Drosophila melanogaster: one gene and its partner. The protein of the gene in region 1 interacts with the protein of each later gene in a pairwise test. Each region holds a gene or a part of one and is shown on either strand. Other genes may lie near its edges. The genes, in order: ms(2)35Ci and hoka.

Evidence for each region.
Region 2: the proteins of ms(2)35Ci (region 1) and hoka interact in a two-hybrid assay, tested with the Drosophila melanogaster proteins (one large-scale study listed by BioGRID).

The regions. Positions count from the first base shown.
Region 1 is NT_033779.5:15,286,327-15,298,229, reverse strand, and holds ms(2)35Ci (male sterile (2) 35Ci), read right to left. Parts: upstream 5,763-11,903; 5' UTR 5,552-5,762; intron 5,495-5,551; 5' UTR 5,494-5,494; coding exon 5,284-5,493; intron 5,222-5,283; coding exon 5,083-5,221; intron 5,022-5,082; coding exon 4,969-5,021; 3' UTR 4,094-4,968; downstream 1-4,093. Other genes in the region: CG15262 (uncharacterized protein), read right to left, coding at 1-283; CG15260 (uncharacterized protein), read left to right, coding at 6,057-6,749.
Region 2 is NT_037436.4:4,896,240-4,908,409, reverse strand, and holds hoka (hoka), read right to left. Parts: upstream 9,511-12,170; 5' UTR 9,414-9,510; coding exon 9,368-9,413; intron 8,134-9,367; coding exon 8,050-8,133; intron 7,996-8,049; coding exon 7,715-7,995; 3' UTR 7,541-7,714; downstream 1-7,540. Other genes in the region: CG13705 (uncharacterized protein), read right to left, coding at 10,125-11,420, 11,492-11,494.

The DNA of each region.
Region 1 (11,903 bases):
ATGCGGTTGGTAATGCAGATGGTAATGATCCTGGCAGAGCCGGAAAATCTTCGCGAAAGATGCTGAACTCCGGCGCAAGTGGTTGGGACGGTGATGCGGACGGCGGCAACTCCTGTTTGGGCTTATTCTTTACCACATCCACGTACAAAATGGGATATCCATCCGGGGTCTGCAAAGACTCGGGCGATGATAATGGCGATTGGAAAGGCGGAGGAGGCGGCGGACTTGGAGAGCTCTCCACCTCCTGCTGGTCATCCCCAGTATTGTAATAATGACGTTTCATATCTTACTCTGGATTTCTATAAGACTCAGAGCTTATCTCGTAATTTATAAGCGTTGCGAGGAAAAAACACGTGTGGCAGAGATCGCTTTGGTTTGCAATACTATAGCTTGCCAAAATGACATTTGAGAGAGTCCTGATTAACACTGATTTCCGATAAAATATTCGATATAAAGCTTGTAGTCGAATGTGTTTGTGATACATATTCATACGCGAAAATTACTAAAAGTTAATGTGTCAGATTTTTAATAGCAACTCGTTAAGCAGGGAAAAATATAGATTATATAGATAGATTATATAGATTATACATATATACTTAAGTCGTTTTTCAGCTAAAAAACAAAAATCATAACAAACCTGAAACATTGAGTTTACTAATAAATTAACTTCTCGCATTGTGTGGGTGCCACGGAAATTGCCACAAAGCAATTTAAAAGGTATGGTCATAAATTCAAAAAAAATTCACCTGCGCAGCAGCCAAAGGAAAAAGAATAAAATTGTGCATAAAAATAAGAATGAGACGCACAAAAAACGTTCGCCTATAAAATATTAAATAAAAAACTGGCGGGGAGTATAACCCATTAACTTAAACTGACACCATACTAACATAAATCTCGTTCCTTGGCCAAGCAAAAGTCCCTGGGAATTGACAAAAGGAAAAAAACGAAAAAAAAAAGGAAAGGGGAGGGAAAATATCTTGGCTAATAGTCCAAGTGCTCCTGCCCACAAAATGTTGAGGAGCACATGGTCATTTGCCTGCCGCGAATCAACGAACTTGTCCAGCGGCCTCAAGAGTCACAACACTCTTGGGATCAGGTGCACGGCTCCCACTGCTCCTTACCTGTGCTCCCCAAATTAAGCACAAATAATATAAAATACAATAACGTAGAATCCCAGCCGCTGGCAAAGAAAAATGATACACATAATCGCCGCACGGCCAAGTGCAGAATTTTCAGATCAAAAAAGCAAAATACGTTTAAGTTTTAGAACCGTACTTTGTAATACCCTTGCAATATCATGTGAGCTTATAGTCCTTATTTTATATAAATAGATCGTGTGATTTGCTGCTTCATGCTGCATATTCCTTAGGTCATCATGTATAAGTTACCACTTAATATGCTAAGCACAACCAAAAATACAGTACTCCTGGCACAGAACACTTTCCAAATACCCATGTACAGAGTATATAGCAATGCATCCAGATCCCAGGAACGCGACTAACGAAGCCAGCGAAGCCATCACGAACTGCGGGCAGAAGCTGCTCCGGCCACATAAAGTACAATAAATCATACTCATGTTGCCGGGGACAGCGACAAAAGCCGCCTGCTCCGCTCCACGATTCGCAGTCATACTGGCCACGATCACCTGGCACTTGGCCTGGTCCACAGATGGGTCAGGCCAATTGCGAAGCCATTAAATCGCCATGGCCAGGGCCACAGTCGAGGCAAGTGGAGTCTCTAGGCCACGGAGGTGTCAACTGGAGGCGATCCTAAATTGGATTTTGGCTTTCATTTGATTGCAAAATACTCATTTTTGTATTTCAGAATAGGTTTCTCCCGCACCTGACGTATCACGTGACCATTCCGCAAGCTAAGTTTCCTAGATTACCCAGACATTTACTCATTTCGAGGTGATAGCACACTGAAAACTAAAACATTATTCAAAAATACTTACTGCATATATAGAGAGTATTTTTTGGGTGCTTGAACTTGAATTACAAATGAACTTGTAAGCTTACATATGTAAAGCGTATAAAACCCAGACCCATAACCCCCACTTTTTATTCGCAGAGTGTGGAAAACGCAGTGGGGATCAGGACCTGTTGGCCGCCATCAAGGCGTGCATTATGGAAATTAGCATCGGCTTAAGAGACGCCCCATTCGTCGGCACAAATGACCCAACTCCAAGCCGCATCGGGTGCGTGCCGCCATCTCGGCTAATGACCAGCGGGAGCAGCAGCACTTGTAGTTGCATCTAAGACATCAGTAAGCACCGAAAGAAGCTCTGGAAGCAATCGTCCCACAGCCCGGCGAGTTTTACGAGCTCATTGGAAGTGCTGCTCCGGCACGGGAAGAGCCGAAACATGTGTATGTATGTACATATTCCTCTCACCTCAGTGGGCTTAGTGGCAGGCGGGCCATTAGCCAAAGCGTACAGCATAATGGCCATATGTTTATGGCGTTCTTGCCAGTCTTTAAAAATTATTCATAATAGGCGTACATCACTCTTGCGACTTAGTCCGTCTCTGTGGGCGTTCATTTTGTCAAGTTTTTTTTTTTTTGTATTTAGTGCTGTAAATGTGTGTATGGACTAAACTTTCAAAGTTGCAGTGCCCTTATATTAATTTGTATAGATATTTTAATAAAGAATTCCTGTAAAGGATAAAACTTTCCTGTCTTCAAGGCCCAGAAAAAACATTACAAACCACCGGACATTTATGAAGAATTCAACCGAAAGTATAAAAATTAATAACCCTGAAAATATTTAAATTTAAATACCATTCACCATTTACTTTAGTAATTAGACTGGCCTGTGCATAAATCCTGAGCTCCATTTACGACCTAGCCGCGGGCAAACAAATTATGAGCCATCATAAACATTGGCATTGCTTCGCCAACAATTGGCATTCGCAATCAGAGCAGCCACAGGAGCAACTGCAGCACGCACTGCCGGCAAGTGAGTGGCAGGCGGCAGTAGCAACGACAGGTTGACTCCAGGTGGAAAAGCTGGACTCTTAGTTTGGCCCAACGTAGGTGGCACACACTTCGGACTGGTGAGGTGGACTTGGAATGCCTGGCGGAGATCGCGGGACACTCACTAACTGGCCAAGTGTCAAACTTGCCAAATTGAAAACGAAGTTACGATGCAATCGCCGATTTGTTTATGCTGCCGTTTTGAACCGAACGCAATTATATTTATTTTCTTTATTTTTTTTTTTTCGTTACTTTTGCATATTTCCCTTGGTGTAGTTTTTAAATTTAATGAAATATTACGCGCACGTGTCAGCGATGCGATAAAATTTATTTACGCAGCATTGCGGGTCAAGTGAAAGCACATTTTTCTGCAGGCCTTCCTTCGGACCTTCAAATTGAATTTACGCTGGGATTTCGGGCGAGTTGCGAATTAAAAATCGAAACCGAAATCGAAATGTAAACCTGACTTAAAAATGGGCGTAGGGCAGTCGCATTGACACGCGGCCATATTTTAAATGTCAACAGGCTGGGGAAGATCGGATCGGATGGGATGGGATGGGATCCCGATTCCGATACAGATACAGATACCCCAAGGATGGGGGCAATCCGCCTTGTCCCTGCCCATTCGCATCAGAAATTCAATAAAATACCATTAAATTACAAAATGAAGACAATTCATTTTTCTTGTTTTCCTTATTTTCGATTCGCCTCAATGCGATTGCATTTTGTTTCTTAAAGTAGGAGCATTTACTGTCGCTTTGCGGTTATAAGCAATAAAGTATTAAAATCCTTTTGGCTTATAAATGTTGAAAGCGACATTTATCGTAATATTTTATGAAATCAGTGAATTTTCGGTGAACGTTGCAAGTTGAATTGCAACTTAGTTGCCGCTGCAAAATTGACTCGCTGGGTATTCCGGGTTCTATTGTGCGGCCATAAAACTGGAATGATGGATGTTAGTTGGCCTGATGTTGAATCCACAATTGAGGCTTAATTTATCTTGATGTACTTGCTGCTCTCAGTGGGTTGACAAGGTCAAAGATTATGGTTCCGATTCGCTGGTGATGTATGATCATTGTTTATGTTGAAAATGACCCGAATGGTATTGTATAGAGACATTGTTTTTTAAGATTTTATTTCGAAGAGTAATTCTACTGACTTATTTTTTAAGCGCTTTAAACAACAACTTAAAAAGTTGCTTACATTTTACAGGGCATCCCGAAGTAATTGCACCGAATCCAACCAACAAGGATCATAATTCCGGCCATAATCGAATACCAGCTGAGGAAAAATGGAAAGGTACGGTTCGGGCCAAGAGTAATGGCCAAGGGTTGGCCAGGGCAACGCCCATCACATACTACCGAATCGAATCCGGGGCGATTTTTCTTATTGCCTTCAACTTTGCACTGCCAAAAATACACATAAACATACCATGGCCCAGAAATAAACAAAAAAAAAAAAAGCAAGACAGAAAACGAAAATACTGCGAGCAAGGCGCACTTTCAATTAATCAAGGAAATTAATTAAGCCCCATGGATGGATGGTGGTGCAAACTGCGGTTCACTGACCAGCCAGCGAGCAGCACGCCTGCCCCATTGCAACATAATTTTCATTTGGCTCAGCATGCGTTTTCATCGTCGCGGTTATCATTTGGACATTTGGACTGGGACTGGGACTGGGACTGGGACGTGGACTTGGACTGGGGATTCGGAGTCGGAGTCGGATTCGTATTCGGATTTCGGATTGGAGCAGCGTTGAGCTGCAGCCTGGTCAATTAGCACGCATGTAGCTCGGCGGGCGCTGGCGGGGCGATAATTAAACGCAGGTCGCTGAGGTTCGGTTGCCAATCCGCTGGTGACAATTGGCCACGATTTATGCACGGCGCGGATTGCGCAACATTTTCCAAATAAATTTTCGCGCCTAATCGCGCACCACAAAATGCTACATGCTGCGCCCGGTCGGTTGCCTGGGTTAATGGGTAATCGGAGTGGTTCACTAAACCTCCGATTGGTAGTAGCTCAGCACGATCACGACGTCCGCAGATACAACTGTGGGCGATTTTTTTTTTTTTTTTGAAGTAGATGTGATCAAGAGGGGGCCATCACTTACAGGCAATCATAATGAACGCATAGGATATCAAAACGTAATCGGTTCTGCCAAGGGAGGCAATCACCATGTGATTGGTCATTTCGAGCATCAGGCCACAAAGAGAAGTCACCAGATGAACTGGCAGCAAATGCGGATTTTCCTGAAACAAAGGATGCTCAGATACCTAGTGATGCTAAATGTATCATGGCAGATTGATCTTACCCGAAAAAGTGCAGTCAAAAGAACCAATGCGGAAATGATATTCCAAATGGTGGAAATTATCCAGAGGAGTAGTATATCAGCGCAATATTGCGACTTAGTATATATAGTCGCTACTGTATCTAATACATCCATTGTAAGACCTGCGTACGCAATTGAAAATGCGCCAATTCTTAGACTAAAACAATAGCAGAACTTCTTGATTATTGGCATTCTGAGTTCAGAAGGAATTTCTTAGCGAGTGGATATAATTTCTATTTATTTCACATACGTGACAATTCTAACGTCCTTTTGATGAAGTCTCTTCCGAGCTCCATTTCTGTTGCCAGGTATCCGAGGACCCTACAACATTTGACAATTTTTCGAAGGAACTCCTTTGAAATTATGCGGATTGCCGGACTTTCCTTAGTGTCTTGTGTGCATTCAAATTTTGTTTATCTGAGAAAATATTTGACAACATTATAAAAGGTGCTTATTCCAACTAATAGGCAGTAGAACAATCAATTTAAAGTAACAAGCTACAAAACTTAAAAAAATTTTGACCTTCGGAGGGAATCTTGGTATTACAATAAACCTAGTCGTGTTTTATATACTTCTGCAAATTTACAATTACCAAAAAACTATGCATACAATTCTCTGAACTAATATATATAACACTGCACAGTGTCCATTTCCCTTTCAATCAAAAATCAAAGGTTTTTTTGCCATATCATGTGTATTCAGATATAATTCAACTAGTTTGTTTCCAAATTAAAAGTAAAGTAAAATCCTCCGGAATGAAGCGAATTGTGCCACTTTCAGCAGACTTATTAAGTGACATAATGACCCACCGGAATGAGTATCACACACCACCTGGGCATTATATAGAGGCAGAACAAGTGGGTGATAACAGAGGACTATATGCGGCAACCAGTTCCCCCCAATTCTTGCCATCGGATGCGAGGCAACGCACTGATGGATTTGCCGATGGACCCATTGTGGCGACCACTCCCGTTTCAGAACTGACACCCAGTGAGGTACTGACCAGACTTGAGGCACGCCTGGATTTCTTGGCGGCGGAAGTGCAAGAACTGCGCAAGTTGATACCTAAACCAATCAATCAGAATGAGGAGCCCTGCACGAGCGGGTCATATGGCTTAAAGCGCTCTCAATCCGATCTATCGTTGATCCTTAAGTCGAGCTCGGACCTGAGACTCATCAATTCCTCCAACGATCTGCATCTGCGAGGGGAGCAGTCGCTGGACAAACGCAATCGCAAGGGGCAGTTGTACCGCGACATGCAGATGCATCTGACCAATATGATAGTCGTGCCCAAGTCACGCACCTCACTGTTTCTCAACCAGCGAAAGGAATTGAACTCCCAATTGTGCCATTGGCGGCATCAATATTCGGATGAGGATTGGATGCAGAATTTCCAGAGCAGCTCCACGGAGGCCGAGCGGCGCTTCAAGAATGTGCGTCGTCAGTGAAAGTAAAAGATTTCTTTGCTTGCCTCCTAAATAAAATTGAGAAATTGTGCCTGTCATGTGTTGGTGGTTATGGGGGTATCGGCGTTCGGAATTTTTCGGGAAAAGCTTTTAGCTGGGACATCTATCTGCGGTTAGGGCTAAAACAAAAGCCATGTTTTGCTACGGCACAGTTTTTTCATACCAATGTTAGCTTTCTTCTATGGCATCTCCCTCGAAGGTTTAAGATCCCATTTCACTAAGTTCGCTCAAGAAAATAAATATTAGAATAAGTTATTGTTAAATGCGTATCTTTAGTATTTTTCCCTTTCATAATTTGCCATCATCATTTTCACCAAAATCGCTGATTTTTTCCATAGTGTTGCTGCAACTTTTACCCATTTGACAGCAATTTCCCTGACATTGCATGTCGATCAGGCGAAAATCCTGCATTCGCATTCTCCCGCTGCCAACATTTGCCAATTTGGGCTGGAAAGTAATGATTTTTATTACTGCAGCGGCAGCATTGAAAACTTCCCCATCTGGAGTCACTTCGTCATGTTCGTGGTGCAGCGATAACCGCGGGCTCTTTGCATTTTGGCCAAATATTAGCACACAATTCGATTTTGCATGCCAGCCTCCTCCTCCTTCTTCCTCCAGGTGGTGGATGAGGCGGTGGAGCAGGAGCAGGAGCAGGGTCTTCGGGGAGACCAGTCAATTTCCACGAGTGCAAGTGGCGAGTTTTCCATGACACACCATGATCTCTCCACTGTCCGCCGGCAGCTGTGCGCTTTTCGCTTTCACCTGTTGGCCTGAGTTATGTAAAAATCCACTGTCAAATTAATGGTGATTTATATATGCGGTTTAATGGGCACTTGGCATGGGATGCGGGTACTCCGTTTACGGGGATCATGAGCGTAGTGTGAATGTGCTGAACAGATTGGCCTTAAACTGTTGCTGTGGCTGAATTATTTTGAATAAGCCGCGAAAGGAGACCAAAATGATCAGTACATCATTTTAAAAGTGGAGTAGAAAGGTTACAATGTGTTACCATAGTTTAGTTTTCCAGCTAAAAAGACATCCATGGCTGACCAAGAATATAATATTAATGAATAGTGTTTAAAAACTACATGTTACATTGGTAAACCTTGTAAATTGCTTACACATATTCAGCTTAATTTAGAAAAACTTTAATTTTCAATAATTTCCTGCAATGCAAGGTCGGGATCGACCTGAACAACAAACCGACAAGTGGTGCCGCTTAATCCGTCGTTTAGTTGGACATCCGCGGAATGTTAAACCCATGCACTTAGCGATAATCCAAGTCAAACAAAATGCCTACAAGTGGTTGGGGCTCGGACTGCCGCCGGAGCATGTCGGGGGCAATTACTTGGACCCGGACTGTCCAGGAGTGACTGATGATGGGATCCAGACACCGTCGCAGGCGTCGCGACAAAATGCCACCGCACTCAAGCTCAAACTCAAATCCAAGACACTTCTCGCGAGTGGTGACAATAAAAGTGCAATGCAATTTGCGAATGCGTCTCTAATTGAGCCCACTGGGGAGACAATTGGTGGATAAATTATACACAGGGCGAAAAATATTGGTAAAGGGCGATCACAAACAAAATGCGTTAAAAAAAAAAGAATCTTATGGATACTTTTTGGGTGACTTAGCTAATCAGAAATAAGAGGTGATAAGCAAGAAAATCTTATTGTTGTGAACTGATAGAGCATTTTTTTTTTTGAAGTTAATTACAAAAGTTTATAATATTTTACCTATGTAGTCCCAAATTTAGTACGCCAGCTGCATTTGTCGATGTAAATTAGCAGAAACGTTTTTAGAAAGGAGCTCGCGATGTCAAGTCTTTGATTTAGCCAGACCCACGAAGGCTCTACAGTTTTTCTCGCCTGCCAGGTGACAATCAGCTGTTATATTTTTACTCGAAATTATTTCTTTAATTTTGCGCACACATGAGCGGAAAAGCATGAAGGAAAATAGAAGGGGCAGGAGAAGTTGGACCTAGTGCGATTGGAATTTCATTTAGAAAGTTGCACACTGGGAAGTCGATGTGTTGTGGTGGGCTTTAATTTGCATTTGCCAACTCTGAGCGACATTTGGCCAGGGGGGGAAGGCAGGAGGTACTGCAACCGAAGCCCAGACAGGCGACATTCTTCTCCATTCACTTTTCTTGGCCCAAACAAAAAGCCGTTTAGCCGCAATTGGGTCATTTAATAATACTCGTAATCGTAAAGAGGGGACTCCCCCGCAACGCTCACGATTTCCTATTCTAATTCTGTCAATCATCTTGCTGCAACTGCTGTTCCTCCCCCACCTCCCCCGACGTAGTTGATCTTGTGCTCTATTTGATCTTGATTTTGATCTTTAACTTGTCTTGACGCATATTTGATTTGGCCACACCCACCCGCCGCGTCTGCCCCTTATTTTCTACGCCTTTTCTTTCCAGCGAAATGCTTTCTACTCCGCACTGATTGTCTTTGTCTCGACTGAAACGCTTGGCTTTAATGGTTTTTGATTGATTATCGCGTGCCATGGGTGCTCCGATCTCTGTGGGTGCTCCACGGTCCCTCTCCAACCCCATCTCCATCTCTAAAGATTCAGCTCCAGGTGGTGTCGCTTGGCCCACGATCGAATCTCTTCTTTGTTGGCTTTCATTTGAAATCTGCTTAATTAGCCCAATATGTGTGTCTGTCTGCCTTGTTGACTCCCTGCACGTGCTGTGATCTCCTCCTGCTCCACCTCCATCCATACTTCAAGTATGTATACACATACAATGTGATGTCAGTTCCTGGTACAAAAAACCACTTGGGCAGCCATGAGTGGGCACATCGAATCAATTGTTAAAGTTCAAAGTTGAAACTTGTTGTACAAGGTGGAGCAGATGGGGTAAGCTACGTGACGCATGATTCATTTAAGGTTGAGGGAAAATTGCTTTCGAGGAAGCTATTCTTCTGATAAAAGATATTCTTAGCAATACTGGAAAAATTCAAAATCTAATTGGCTTAATTTAACAAACTCAATATAATAGTGCTAAGCTAAGTTTGTTTAAACTAAAGTAAAACAAACTAAGACCAAAGGTTAAAGACAGACGACACTGGTAAACTTATGTGCACTTCACTTGAATCGCTAATCCGACTTAATTTTCCATTTAGACCGTAGATAATCTATCTGCAATATTACTCAACTGCCTGCCAAACTTTCCACTCATTATGAATACAAGTTGACAATTTTGAACCGCAGTTCCTCGATGGCTGCATCCCAATCGCGGCCATCAAGTGACACTGACTTTCCCGAGCAGCCGCCATCTCATCACAATAATGTCCTAGTCGGTGAAATCAAATCTCGCTGAAGGTGCTGTCAAAATGTTATTCAACCATAGGGTTTGAGACGAAGGGGATATATATTTTGTCGGGGTTATCCAACCACCAGCTACATATGTCAACACCATGAACTTGAAACCCACTGAAGACCCACTGGGCATGAAGCTAAGGAGCAAGAGCTCAAGCCAAAGTTGCAGTTGCCTCTAAAAGCATTTTGTATTCTAATTAGATTGTCAGTGGCACGACAACAACCTCATTTTGGCTCACAAAATGCCTTTTCACATTTGCATTAGCGCCAACGTGAGGAGAGAAGACAAAAATCTACATAAACTGGGGACAGTTGGTCGGGATGCACTGGGCAAAATATGTCGACGATCATAAATGCCAGGTATATTTGCTTAAAAATAATAGTTTAAAATTTTTAGTTTTTGAAGCTTTAAGTAATCCAATAAAGTGAACGAAAGTAATTTTAAAAAATGTTCCTAACGTGTGATGAAGATCTAGATCTGTTAAAGGGAAATGCCTTTTACAAATTGATCTCAAAGTCAAGTCGGGAATACACCGGAGTACCAATAAATCATATTTTATAAATAATAATATTATTCTTAATAATAATACAATCACTTTTTCATTCATTACACCATATCTATGATTTCCTAATTTTTAACACAGAATTGTCTACCTTTCTGTGTAATTTTAAATGTTGCTCAAATATCTTAACATTAACTTACTATTTTTTTTTGACAGTGCAGTGGAGTAGGAGTTTGCAGTTTGAAGTTCATTAACATGCACAGGTTAATTACCGTTGTTGTTGGCCGCTCGAGGAAATGAGCCATTCGAGGTGGGGATCTGCAGCTACGTTGCAGCGCCGCAGTAGCCGAAAGCCGGCGATAAAACTGGCTAAAAGCATACATAAAAAGACACATGTTAAGTGTGTGTATGGCCAGGGCCTTATTTCAACGGCGGGGAAGGACTGTGACAAATGCTTAAGCTCCAGCAGGAGGACGTGGCCGTGGCCACTGCGCTTTCCTGGCCAACATGCAAAATGTTGCACTGATAAGAGACACAAAGCCAAGGAGTCATCCCGTTTGCTGCCTGCAGTTGGCCAACAGCAGCGGTAAATGAGCATCCCGGGCACGATCATTAAAACAAAAGCGGTAGCCGAGGAGCCATCACTGACAAGCCATGACCAAGAGCAATGGCCAACAAAAAAAACGTGGCACATCTCATCGCGTTTTCGACTCTCGGATACCTAGTGTTCTTAAATCTGGAGCGTACTATATATTCAAATGTTATAACCAGGATGATAAAAAGGAAGTAGAATTAAAGGTGCTTAAATCGAAACTGATTTCATTTGATACCATCCCCTAAGAAATAATTTATATCCAAAAAGTATGCAAGGGTATTTAGCAATCCAATTTTGGCACTATTATTTTTCCCCAAAGGGAAACTCCACATTACATTAAGAAAATGATATACGCATTTTTAAAAGAACAATACTTTCATGTATCTTATTCATATATTAAATTATTATTTCTTTAATACTCTGCCACCCATTCATCTCCATTATTAAGGGGTATCCAAAATAAATGCAACCATAGAACAGCAGGCAGCTACCAAGTTTCTGCCTTCTGGTGTTGGATTGCCTTAAACGATCCGCGTGAATAACTAATTTCAATGGAGTCTGCGCCAGTGCCGCCGCTAGCTTCTCAACATTTATCACCCACCATCGGCGCAGAAGCTCCAGGACTGAGCTGAGAAGCCATAGCCGAGCACCGGTAGCCCTAATCCCAGAAGACAATGGGACAGTTCATTTATTTTTTTCGCTCCTCGTCC
Region 2 (12,170 bases), on another chromosome or scaffold:
CCAACAACGTTGACGATATGTTGATAAACTTTAACACCCCACAAACACTCGCATAAACCCGGTCAAGTGCCCAGAGTGGTGCAACTGCCTGGATTCCAGCTCGTCCAAGGACCTCGAGCTACTACTCCTGCTCCAGCTGACCCACAACAATTGTGCAGGAGTGCCGCTGCCTGGCCATATGCACTGTGTTTGCATTCCCATTCGGGACGAAAGTCCTTTCGGAACATGCCCACTATGTAGGACTATTTTGTGTGGCTTTCCTGCGAAAGCGCAAGTATCTAGTGAGGAATCCTTGCTGGCTGACAGCACTACAAAAAAATTAAAAAAAAAAAGTTTAAAATAATATTTCAAAACAAAAATATTAAATGAAAATTCGTGTTTTATTGTCATAAGAGTTTTCAAGCACATTGATATTTTGAATATTTAGTTATTTTCCCAGAAATGTGCATTGTATGAATGCGAACTAACTGCTTTGTCTTAAATAATTCAAAGATATTTTTTGAAGTGCAACATTTCAGAGTCGCCCGAGTTGCACAATTTTTGGCTGCCGCTGCACTTGTATCTGAAAGTGGGGATCGACTTGAAACGGGATGGGCTGGATGTGGTGTTGCAGGCTCCTCGGTTGCGGGTGGTTGCGCCTAAGCGATTTCGCTTTTTGTCTGTTTTGTGTCAATTTTGGAATCCGCTTTGGCTACCAACCCCTCGCCGCCGGCGCGTTGCCTCGGAAAAGCTCTCGGTTGCGCCAATTGTTGGCATTTACAGCTACTTGGCTGGTGGGCCCTTGACTTCGCCCGAGATACCCCGGGATCTGCTTTGTGAGGCAGCTTAGATGTGCAGCTCAAGTGGCGCACTGGGGATTTTTCAATTGCGTTTATAATAAATTTCGATTTGTCAGCGGCGAAACGAGGAAGCGGCATCAAGTGGCCGCCGCATCCCAAGTGCCGCCAAAATCAGTCGGCGATATAGAAGCAGATACAAGCTACAAAATACGAACTCAAAGCGAGCACAGCTCAATTCCCGAAACTGGAGCAGAATGCTTTCTTTGAGAGCGCGATAATCAAATGCAATCTTGTCACTCTAATAATCTAAACCCTTTGAATAGTTGTGATGCCTCACTGCTTTGACATCATTGTAATGGGGTTCGCAAATAAGAATCATATATACACTATTTAACTTCATTTATTTCTTCATATACAAAAATCACGTCTGATCGCTATGACCGCAAAATTACAATGGAGAAAGAAAGAATACAGTTCAGTTCAATTAGCATCGATATATAAAATGTTAATCCGCTGTTAAGACAGCTGAAGCACCGGGTGACTCCGCTCATAATCCGTACATGCCGCCCGCCAATGCGTCGTCCAGCATGAAGGCTCCTTGTGATTCTTGATCCGTGTGTTGATCATAATTATGTTGAAATCGGAAGTGGACAAAGCTTTGTGATTGACCTCTTTTGAATGCCAGATTTCGTCTTTAATGTAACTACTCTGACTAGCGAGTCCGATCCAGGGTGCAGTTCGACGACTCGGCCTATAGTCCATTTAGCTGGTGGTAGATTATCATCCTTTATAATGACTAAGTCGTTGATGCTAAGATTATCTTTGATTTGGCACCACTTTGGCCGAGTTTGCAAGTGTGATAACCAATCACGAGACCATTGAGACCAGAATTGTCGCGTCATGTGTTGTTGTGCGAGAAATAGTTCACGCAAAGGCTTATTATTCGGCCGACCTTGTGGCGGTGCCAGTAGTGCGTCACCAATTAAGAAATGTGCTGGAGTTAGTACTTCTAAATCGTCAGGGTCGGCGGTTAGCGGGCAAAGTGGACGTGAGTTCAAACATGCTTCAATCCTGATCAAAACTGTAGTAAGCTCCTCATACGTCTGCTTGTGGCTGCCGACGATCCGTTTAAGATGATGCTTCATTGCTTTCACGTTTGCCTCCCAGATGCCACCAAAATTGGGAGAATATGGAGGTGTGAAATGCCACCTTGTCCCATGTTGACATGTCGATTCGTTTAGGGCTGCCTTGCAAGTGATGGGCTGGTTAAGCGATGTACTCGCGCCAACAAAATTTGTGCCGTTATCACTATACATATGTTGAACTTGTCCTCGACGTCCGGTGAATCGCGTAAATGCTTGCAGGAAGTGCTCTGTTGAAAGTCCAGTGACGGCTTCCAAGTGGACCGCCTTGGTTGCTAAGCATATAAAAATGGCTACATAGCCTTTGTAGGTGGTTGATCCTCGTACACGCGCGGCTTGAAGTTCAATCGCACCAGTGTAGTCAACTCCTGTTGTAATGAACGGACGAGTTGGGGGGTTGACTCGATGTAATGGCAAGTCACCCATCAGTTGCTTCGCTACGACTGGAGCTACCTTAAAACATGTGACGCATTTCCGGATGATTCGCCTGACTGCTTGTCTGCCTCTGGGAATCCAGAATTTGTAGCGTATGTGAGCCAGTGTTAATTGAGCGCCGCCATGTAGAGTGAGCTGATGAGAGTGTTGAATTACCAAATCTGTAAATAGGTGACAATGAGGTAATATAATTGGATGTTTTCGAGAAAAAGAGAGATTTGAATGCTTGAGACGGCCACGAATCCTCAAGATATTGTTGTCAAGAAACGGTGTAAGATTTGAAAGTGTGCTACGGGGTGGTAACGGCTTGTTCCTTTTAAGCGCTTGGATGTCGGCGTGAAATGTATCGGATTGTGCAAGGCGAGCTATGCAGCATAGGGCCTCATCCAGCTCGTCAGGAGAGAGTGATCCGTGACTTCGTTGTGCTCGAGCATGAGCATTGTGGCAGAATCGTAACATGTATGCCGTGACACGTAGCAGTTTTGTATACGACGAGAATCGGTCAATAATAGAATCCTTTGTGTCTGACAAGGTAGTGAAGGCTCTAATTTTTATGGATTTGGCCTCCAGATCCCGTTCTTCTGGATTGAGCAATTGTGATTGCGTGTTTGGCCAAATATTGTGTGGTTTGCATAGCCAGGATGGGCCATGCCACCAAATATCAGGTATTTGGCTCGGTGGTAAGCCTCTGGTTGCGCAATCTGCTGGGTTTTCCGATGTGTCTATGTGGTGCCACTGAGCCGCTGAGGTGTGGTCGAGAATGTAAGACACTCGGTTGGCTACAAACGTTTTCCACCTAGTAATGTCTCCTTTAATCCAGTGCAGAACAATGGTAGCATCGGTCCAGTAAAAGGTAGATATATGTGCATTGGTCCATCGGTTATTCTCCAGCACCCATTTGGTGAGTTTGGTAGCTAATACTGCACCGCATAGCTCAGTGCGCGGTATTGTTAACGGCTTGGTTGGCGAAATTTTTGATTTTGCGACGATGAGCGTTGTATAGAAAGTCCCATCAGACTGTTGGGTGCGTGCATACACTGCTGCTGCGTAAGCACTGGAGGATCCATCGCAAAAGGTGTGCAGTTGTATCTCACTACTAAATAGTGGCGTAAATTTGACGCTGCGTGGTATTTTGATCGTCTTAACCTTCATTAGTTGCTGTCGAAATTGTTGCCATTTGACGGCAATGGTGTTGGGAACTGGCTCATCCCAATCCAGTGATGTACTCGATCCGTCCTCGCGATATTGCTTCGCTAGTGTGATTTCTTTCAATATAATCTTTGCTGAAATTACAACTGGAGCGATTAATCCAAGAGGATCAAATAAACGTGCTATGGTCGATAGGATTTCTCGTTTTGTTATACCGGCTGGAGTATTTGCTAGTAATTTATAAGTGAAGCAATCTTGCTTGGGCAACCAGTACATACCCAGTGTTTTGATGGTGTCCGCATTGTCCCAACTGAGGGATGTCTGCTTGCATCGATGCTCGAGAGGTATCGTTGCCATCAGATCCTGGTCATTACTAGCCCATTTTCGTAGCTCCATGCCAGAGGATTTTAAAGCTAGCATAGTTTGCAAACTTTTCCGTATTGCTGCCTCTTGTGAATGATCGCCTGAGAGAATGTCGTCGACATATATCTCATTTTTGAGAACGTTGGATGCCATAGGATATTTTGTCTGTGTGTCTTCAGCTATTTGATGGATGACTCTTATAGCTGTATAAGGTGCAGACGCTGTTCCAAACGTGACGGTAGTTAAGCAATGCTGTTTGATGACTCCATCCGCCGCCCGCCATAAAATCCTCTGGTACTGCGTGTCATCAGGGTGGACATTGATACAGCGATACATTCGTTGTATATCGGCAGTGAAAACAAACTGATATTGTCTCCAATTCAAGAGAACGGCTGGCAGATCATTTTGCAGCGTGGGACCTACACATAGTACATCGTTTAACGATCTGCCATTTGAGGTCCGGGCCGATGCGTCAAAAACGATACGTTGTTTTGTGGTGAGGCTTTCTTCTTTGAAAACTGCATGATGTGGTAGCACGCATGATGCAACATGCCGACCGTAGGAATCCGTGGTTATGGTTGAGTTTTCGCTCGTCTCTGCCAACGTGATTTGACCTAGTTGAAAATATTCTTCAATTCCTTTGCAGTATCTGATCCATTTGTCTGGGTCCCTTTGAAGGCGCCTTTCGAGTTGAAGATATCTGTTCAGGGCGATCTGATGAGATTTTCCGAGCGTCATACTGGGGTCAAAGTTCCTCTTGAATGGCAAACGGACTTGATAACTGCCGTCTGGTTGACGTTGATGGGTCTGCTTAAAGAAAGACTCGCACCATTGATCTTCTTTGGAGAGCTTTGGGCGTTCTGGAACTGATTCTACCTCGCAAAATACCTTAAGCAGCTCTTCGGAGTTTATTATGGCATGATTACATCGAATGTGGCGTGTAATATGCGTGTTGCCAACATTGCCTAACAGAACCCATCCGAGTTGAGTATTCTGCGCTATGGGTTCGTTTGGCAAGCCAATCTTAGTTCCAGGCAACAAGAGTTGTGCCATAAGGTCGGCTCCAAAAATGATATCGATTCGCTTGGATCTATAATAATAGGGGTCTGCGAGCGTGAGACCATGGATATGACTCCAGTTTCCTGCTGGAAAACTTTGACTTGGCATGTGTGATGTCAACGTGTTCAAAACATAAGCATCGTCGACCTTTAACGAGAAATTTGGGTTAGTTGCTGTTTGCACCGAACAACTTACGATGAATTTGCAGCGTCGTCCTGAATCTTGACCGACTCCGGTGATTGAAGTGCGAGTTGTGCTTCGGGAGAGCTGGAGAGACTGTACAGCATGCTCCGAAATGATAGTTGCTTCCGATCCTTGGTCAAGAAGCGCGTTTACCGTGGCCTGGCATCCTGTCTGTGTGTTACTGAGTACAACCCGAGCTGTTGCTAGTAGTACCTTTCGATGAGTCATAGATGAAGTTGTAGTTGACATGCACTGTAGAGTCGGCTTGGCATCTGAACTGGCTGCTGAACTTTGGCATGATGTCGAGGAGGGTATCAGCGTTGGCTGTGTTGCTGGAAAATGTAACATCGTGTGATGACGTTGACCACAATGAAGACAATTCTTGTTGCTGGGGCAGCTTGCTTGTGTGTGCGATTTTCCCAGGCAATTGAGACACAATTTTGCCTTGCTGGCCACTTCCTTCCGTTGGTAGCAATCCATTGAAAGAAATTGCGGACATCTTCGAAGTATGTGTAAGTTGCCACAATGATAGCAAGCGGACGCGGAAGCACCCGACCTGGTGTGGGCGCTGTGCACACGCACGCGTTTAGTACCGTCTGAAGTTTCATTTGACTGTTTCATGCCGCTGCACGCGTTACGGCTTTCAATAGCGTCTAACGTAACAAGTCGATCATTGAGGAACTGTTGCAGATCTTTGTATGAAGGAACGTCAATCTTGCTGCCCAGATGATGCTCCCAAGCTGTGTGAGTGTCTTTGGGTAGTTTGGTTGTTAGATAATGAGTCAACCAAAAATCTCCTCCCTGTAGTGGCGCCTTGACGGTATTGCAAGCGGCAATGCAGACGTTGACTGTACTAACCATAGACCGTATGTCAGCAGATTTTTCTTTCGAAAGATTCGGTAAGTTGTAGAGCATGTTCATGTGGCTGGCGAACACAATTCGTGGGTTGTTATATCGTTGTAGAAGTGTGGTCCAAGCGACTTCATAGTTTGCTTCAGTTAAAGCGATTTGGCGAATGTCGTTGTCCAGGCCTACTGGTAATGCTTCCTTTAAAAAATGGAACCTTTGAATCTTATCCAGACGCTCATTATTGTGAATTAAGCGTAAAAATGCATCATGAAAACTTGGCCAGTCCGCGCAGTTGCCAGAGAATTTCGGAACTGGTAATTTTGGCAGTGGTATCCGTACTTCCTCTACATGTGTTGTTATTGTAGAGTTAGCTGATTCGTTGTGCGTCACTGTGCCTGGATAAATTCGTTTCTTTTCTTCGGCCACGAAACAGTAAACTTCCATGCCCAGGTCTTCGAATTGGCTGATTGTATTTTGTTGCTTATACACACTTTCTTCGTAGTCTGCCATGCATATAAGTGTGTGATGCGCCTGATGAAATTCTTTGTTAAACTCGTCGATTTGATTCAAACGTTTTTCGAAATATATTTCCGTTTTCCGCGCACTCGAGTCTTTTTTCACATTACTGAACAAGCGCTTCAAAGACTCAATGCGGTCAGTTTGAACTCGCACCAGTTGATCAAATTTCGACATTGTTTATACTGACGTTGCTCCACTGTATGTAATATGCACAAATGCTCGTATGTTATCGGTGTTCTTCTTTGACGTCTTGTTTTTTGAGTTGGCAGAGATTCCGGCAAATCTAACGGAATCGAAGGGCAACGGGACTTAGCTCTGTCGTGATGAGAGCGAGCGCGAACGTTTGCGTATACTGCTCTGTCGTGATGAGAGCGAGCGCGATAGAAAACGTAGGCACGGTGATTTATCTGGATGAAGCCGACCACGAAGATAAAATTGCCAAACAGCTTTTAGCAATTATTAATTATGATTCTTATGAGCAAGGTTCCCCTCATGGGCCACCAATGAATAGTTGTGATGCCTCACTGCTTTGACATCATTGTAATGGGGTTCGCAAATAAGAATCATATATACACTATTTAACTTCATTTATTTCTTCATATACAAAAATCACGTCTGATCGCTATGACCGCAAAATTACAATGGAGAAAGAAAGAATACAGTTCAGTTCAATTAGCATCGATATATAAAATGTTAATCCGCTGTTAAGACAGCTGAAGCACCGGGTGACTCCGCTCATAATCCGTACACCCTTTGATATTTTATATTGGGTGTAGCTTGAAAATAGCTAGTATTTCCGCAGCCCCAAAAGTAGGCATTAATTTGCTTACAAATCTATTCATCTAATTAATCTTCATCCCCAGCATGGGCTATGAAAAATCCAAAACTCAAAACCAGTTTGATTTAATTAGATATAAATTAGCGTTGCGTGTGGTGCAGACAATGAGTAGACAAACTGGATCGGTCTTGGGCGGATATTGGGCCGCTTAGCCGGTGCAATAAAATGTTAAAAGCCAGCGTGTATCGTCTTAAAAACCGTTTAACCGTACAAATGTGAAGCTAGTTTGGCGCCAGATAAGTGGCAAATAATTTTATTCGAAAATGAAGGTAGACAAAGGGCACAGGTTCTATTTGTGTGTCGATTAAATGACAATAAAGCTAGTTAATGGTGGAATTTGAACTGATTTGGAAAGGGTTATGAACCAAAAGTGGTCACTTGGATCTGTACACATCTCCTCAGACAATAGCGGTGGCATGCGTTGGAGTGGGAGTCACATTGGCCGTCTCATGAGTCTGGGCAGGAGTATAGGTTGTGGCCGTGGCCGGATCGTGAGTCTGGGCGGGAGTATAAGGTGTGGCCGTCGCATGAGTCTGGGCGGGCGTGTAGGAGGCCGCCGTCTGATCTGGTTCCTTGTCCAGGATCACCTTCTTGAGGATGAAGTAGAGGGCTCCACCAATCAGCAGCTCACCTACCGCTACACAAACGATGAGAGCCCATCCGGGAATAGCAAGGCCAGCTGCAAGAAATAACAATGTTGAGCAATATCGATCACGTATACGGCATCACTTACTGAAGTATCTGCGGGTAAGGGTGCGTCGTCCGCGGTTCACACGTCGCGTGGCCTCCGATTCTTGCAGGCAGCAGGCCAACAGTACTACAGAATAGAAAAGAATATACAAATTTAATATTTGTTAGACATAGTGATTCGTCCGAGGCGCAAAACACACATCATACACATTTTTTCAATGATCACGCGGCGTGTGGTCGAAGGTGGCCTGGTAAGATTGCGGCATTGGCTTTGAAGCATCCATCAAACCCAAGCCAAACGGAACTCATTGAAATAACAGCAAGACCATTCATCATATAGATCTTCAAATGCGCGAAGACTTGTTAAGATATTAACAATTAATCGTTGAGAAAATGTTTAACAACAGAGCCGGGCCAAAATCAACAAAAAACGCTGATTCTGATTGAGCCAAAATAGCGCGCGCGCGCCAACTTCTTCGATGATAAATGTGAGCTGGCATATTCCTTCCCCATTGTTCCATTGCGGATGTCAGATTCGATTTCACGTAAAATTATCAAAATGTATTTTTAATTAATAATATTTTATGTGTGTGTTCGTTCAGCTCATTCGGCATATTTTGCGTATGAAATATTAAATGGATTTGTTTGTCGATATGGAAAGTGTATAGATTTTTCCTCGATTCGATTAGTCGGTGATTCATGGAGACAGGCATTTGACAAAACCCATCCGCCAAATGTATGTGGCTAAGAGTGCGACCGATTTTCGTTGGCCAACCGCTAACCAATATTAATTGTTTTCATTCACTTTTTTGTCTAACATATTTCATAATTTATATGCGCAATAATTATGCCACTTCCGGTTTTAGGGCATTGGACTTTTGGCCTAATAAAAATTGCATGAAATCAAAGGAAATGATTTCGCATTTACTCACTGCCAGCTAAATTATATGTTTTATTTGGGATACCTTTCAATCCAAAAAGATTTCCCTCTGAACTCACTGATTCACCACGCCCTAAAGTTAAGCACACCAAGTGATGGGGCAACAATGAGTAAACACAGTGCTTATCTGAATCGCACTGATAAGCACACATTTTTGTAGAGTTTTCTTGTGCCTGATTGTGTGACGCACACTTGGCCCAGTTACTCATCGTTAGAGTCTCCAATTGCTGAAGTTGGGTTATTAAAACCCCACACCTATGGAATCATACGGATGCATCAGTGCATCATAATGCGTTAAAGTCTCACACATGCACAATACTCCGCCCACACACATGCACCAAAAAGTATCTCGCCGGTGTGCTGCGTATCTCTAGTTGGCACTCAAAACTCGGCAGATTCGAACGAGCATGCAGAACTTTACCCAGGCATATCACCAAGTAGGTGGAGCACTTCTTAGCCAACTTCATTTCCGTCGTTTTCGTCGGTTCTTTCGAAAAACTTATGTTCGCTTTTAGCTGTTAGCCAAGTTTGTAACGCGCACGTCGTCGACTCCAAAGTGGAACTAAAAACCTGTGCGTGATTGCATTCGTCGGCAGGTGCTAGTATCTTATCTCAAAGCACCTTATCTTTCATTGATAAGATTAGAAGGCTCTCTTTTCTCCCGCTATATATTACTTCTGAGGTCATCAGCACTGAAAAAAATAGTTTCATTTATGTTCAATCTAAAATGTCTCCTATATTTCTAAGCCTAACATGTTCAATATGCAAAATTCGTTGAGTTCAAGTCCTTACACAATATTTTATATCTGTACTATCGAAGGACAATAAGAGTCTTCTTTATTTATTGCCCATTTTAAAAAATATTTTTATAAAATCTTTTCACCAACTCCTTCGACTTTATAAGCTTTATCCCAATCCTAGGCATATTGTTTAAAAGATAGTTCGAATATTTAAAAATATTCTGCAAAAAGATATAGTAGTTGTAGGATATTTGTTTTAAAAATGTTTATTATTGTAAGTTCGGGTTTGTACTCGGGTTGTTCATAGTGGATTCAAATTGACTAATACGCTCGACTTATTGTTAGTTTCAATCTGAGACTGTCAAAGTCAGGACTTCTTCTGGAAAAACATCCTCGAAAATCTCAAATGCTGCGGTGGGAGTTGGCGCAATCGGCGGCTTAGTGGCGACGGAGCTTCAGACGACGGACGGTCTTGTAGCGGTAGCCATCGCTGGCCAGGACGGTCTGCTCGGCGGGCACATCAATGATGGCAGAGGCGGTCTCCTCCACGGGGGGCAGGTACTCGCCGGAAGGCAGCTCAGAGACATCACGGCGGCGACGGATCACACGACGCACGGTCTTGTAGCGGTATCCATCATCAGCCAGGGGAGTCTCCACAGCAACAGCCTCGGAGGCGGACTCCTCAACAGGGGGCAGGTATTCAGGGGACAGCTCGGAGACATCACGACGACGACGGATCACACGACGCACGGTCTTGTAGCGGTATCCATCATCAGCCAGAGGAGTCTCGACGGCAACGGCTTCGGAGGCGGATTCCTCAACAGGGGGCAGGTATTCGGCGGACAGCTCGTTTACATCACGACGGCGACGGATCACACGACGGACAGTCTTGTAGCGGTATCCATCAGCAGCCAGAGGGGTCTCAACAGCAACAGCCTCGGAGGCAGACTCCTCAACGGGGGGCAGGTACTCGCCGGAAGGAAGCTCATTGACATCACGACGACGACGGATCACACGGCGGACGGTCTTGTAACGGTAACCATCATCAGCAAGAGGGGTGTCCACAGCAACAGCCTCAGAGGCGGACTCCTCAACAGGGGGCAGGTATTCAGGGGACAGCTCGGAAACATCACGACGACGACGGATCACACGGCGGACAGTCTTGTAGCGGTAGCCATCATCAGCCAGGGGAGTCTCGACGGCAACAGCCTCGGAGGCGGACTCCTCAACAGGGGGCAGGTACTCAGGGGAGAGTTCGGAGACATCACGACGACGACGGATCACACGGCGGACAGTCTTGTAGCGGTAGCCATCATCAGCCAGGGGAGTCTCGACAGCAACAGCCTCGGAGGCGGACTCCTCAACAGGGGGCAGGTACTCAGGGGAGAGTTCGGAGACATCACGACGACGACGGATCACACGGCGGACGGTCTTGTAACGGTAGCCATCATCAGCCAGAGGAGTCTCGACGGCAACGGCTTCGGAGGCGGATTCCTCAACAGGGGGCAGGTATTCACCGGAGGGGAGCTCGTTCACATCACGACGGTGGCGCAACTTCAGGCGGCGCACGGTCTTGTAGCGGTATCCATCGTCGGAGAGAACTCCCTGCTCGGCGGGCACCTCCACGAGTTCGGAGGCAGATTCCAGGTTGTTGTCCACTGGCGGCAGGTAATCCGTGGCAATGGAGGCCGCCGAGGCAGCTGCGATCACAGCAAAGGCAATGACAAAGAATTTCTGCAAGGCAATAAGCGAAGGAGAGGGTTATGGGTTAGTCCTGGTCGCAGGATGACTGCTGGAGAACTAACCATTTTTCCAGAAGATCCAAGACGATGTCTGCTAGATTAATCCAAAGTTGATTCTGTTTTCAAACCAGACCCAACGACACTATTTATACACAAACTGCGCGAAAAGTTCTCGGCTGACCGATGTCCATTCACTTTGCGAGATCAGATGAACTGAGATGAGCTATGATGATCGCTGAGCAAACCGGTTAACAAGCGGCGAACTACCGCATCGATCGATGGCTTCTTCTACTGGGGCCGAACTCAGATTTGGATTGTCTAGTTGCTATTGTCAAAAAGTGTCTCAAGCACCAATTGAACTCTGGCTGGCCATATAAGATGATTAGCGCGGCCAGCTGCCAGAAGACAAAACGAAAGTAAACAAAGACGAGCCGGCGAAGTCCGCAGATTTGTAGATATTTTAGATTTGTAGATTCGTAGGCAGATGGAACAATGGTCGAGGGCTCTTCGATTGTCTCGATTATTTGCATCGATTTATGTCTGCCATATGCTTGAATAGATCGGATACATTTGTGACAATCCATTACCATTGGTAATTGCAAGCGGAAGTCGCCGCTTTTCAATGTATTTTTGGATGCTCTTGCCTCTCGGATCTCGATGAGCGCTTAAGGCCAAGATCGGCCGAAAGTATTTATACGCCATCTCGATTGATACGCGCTTGATGGTCCATCGAGTGTTGCTA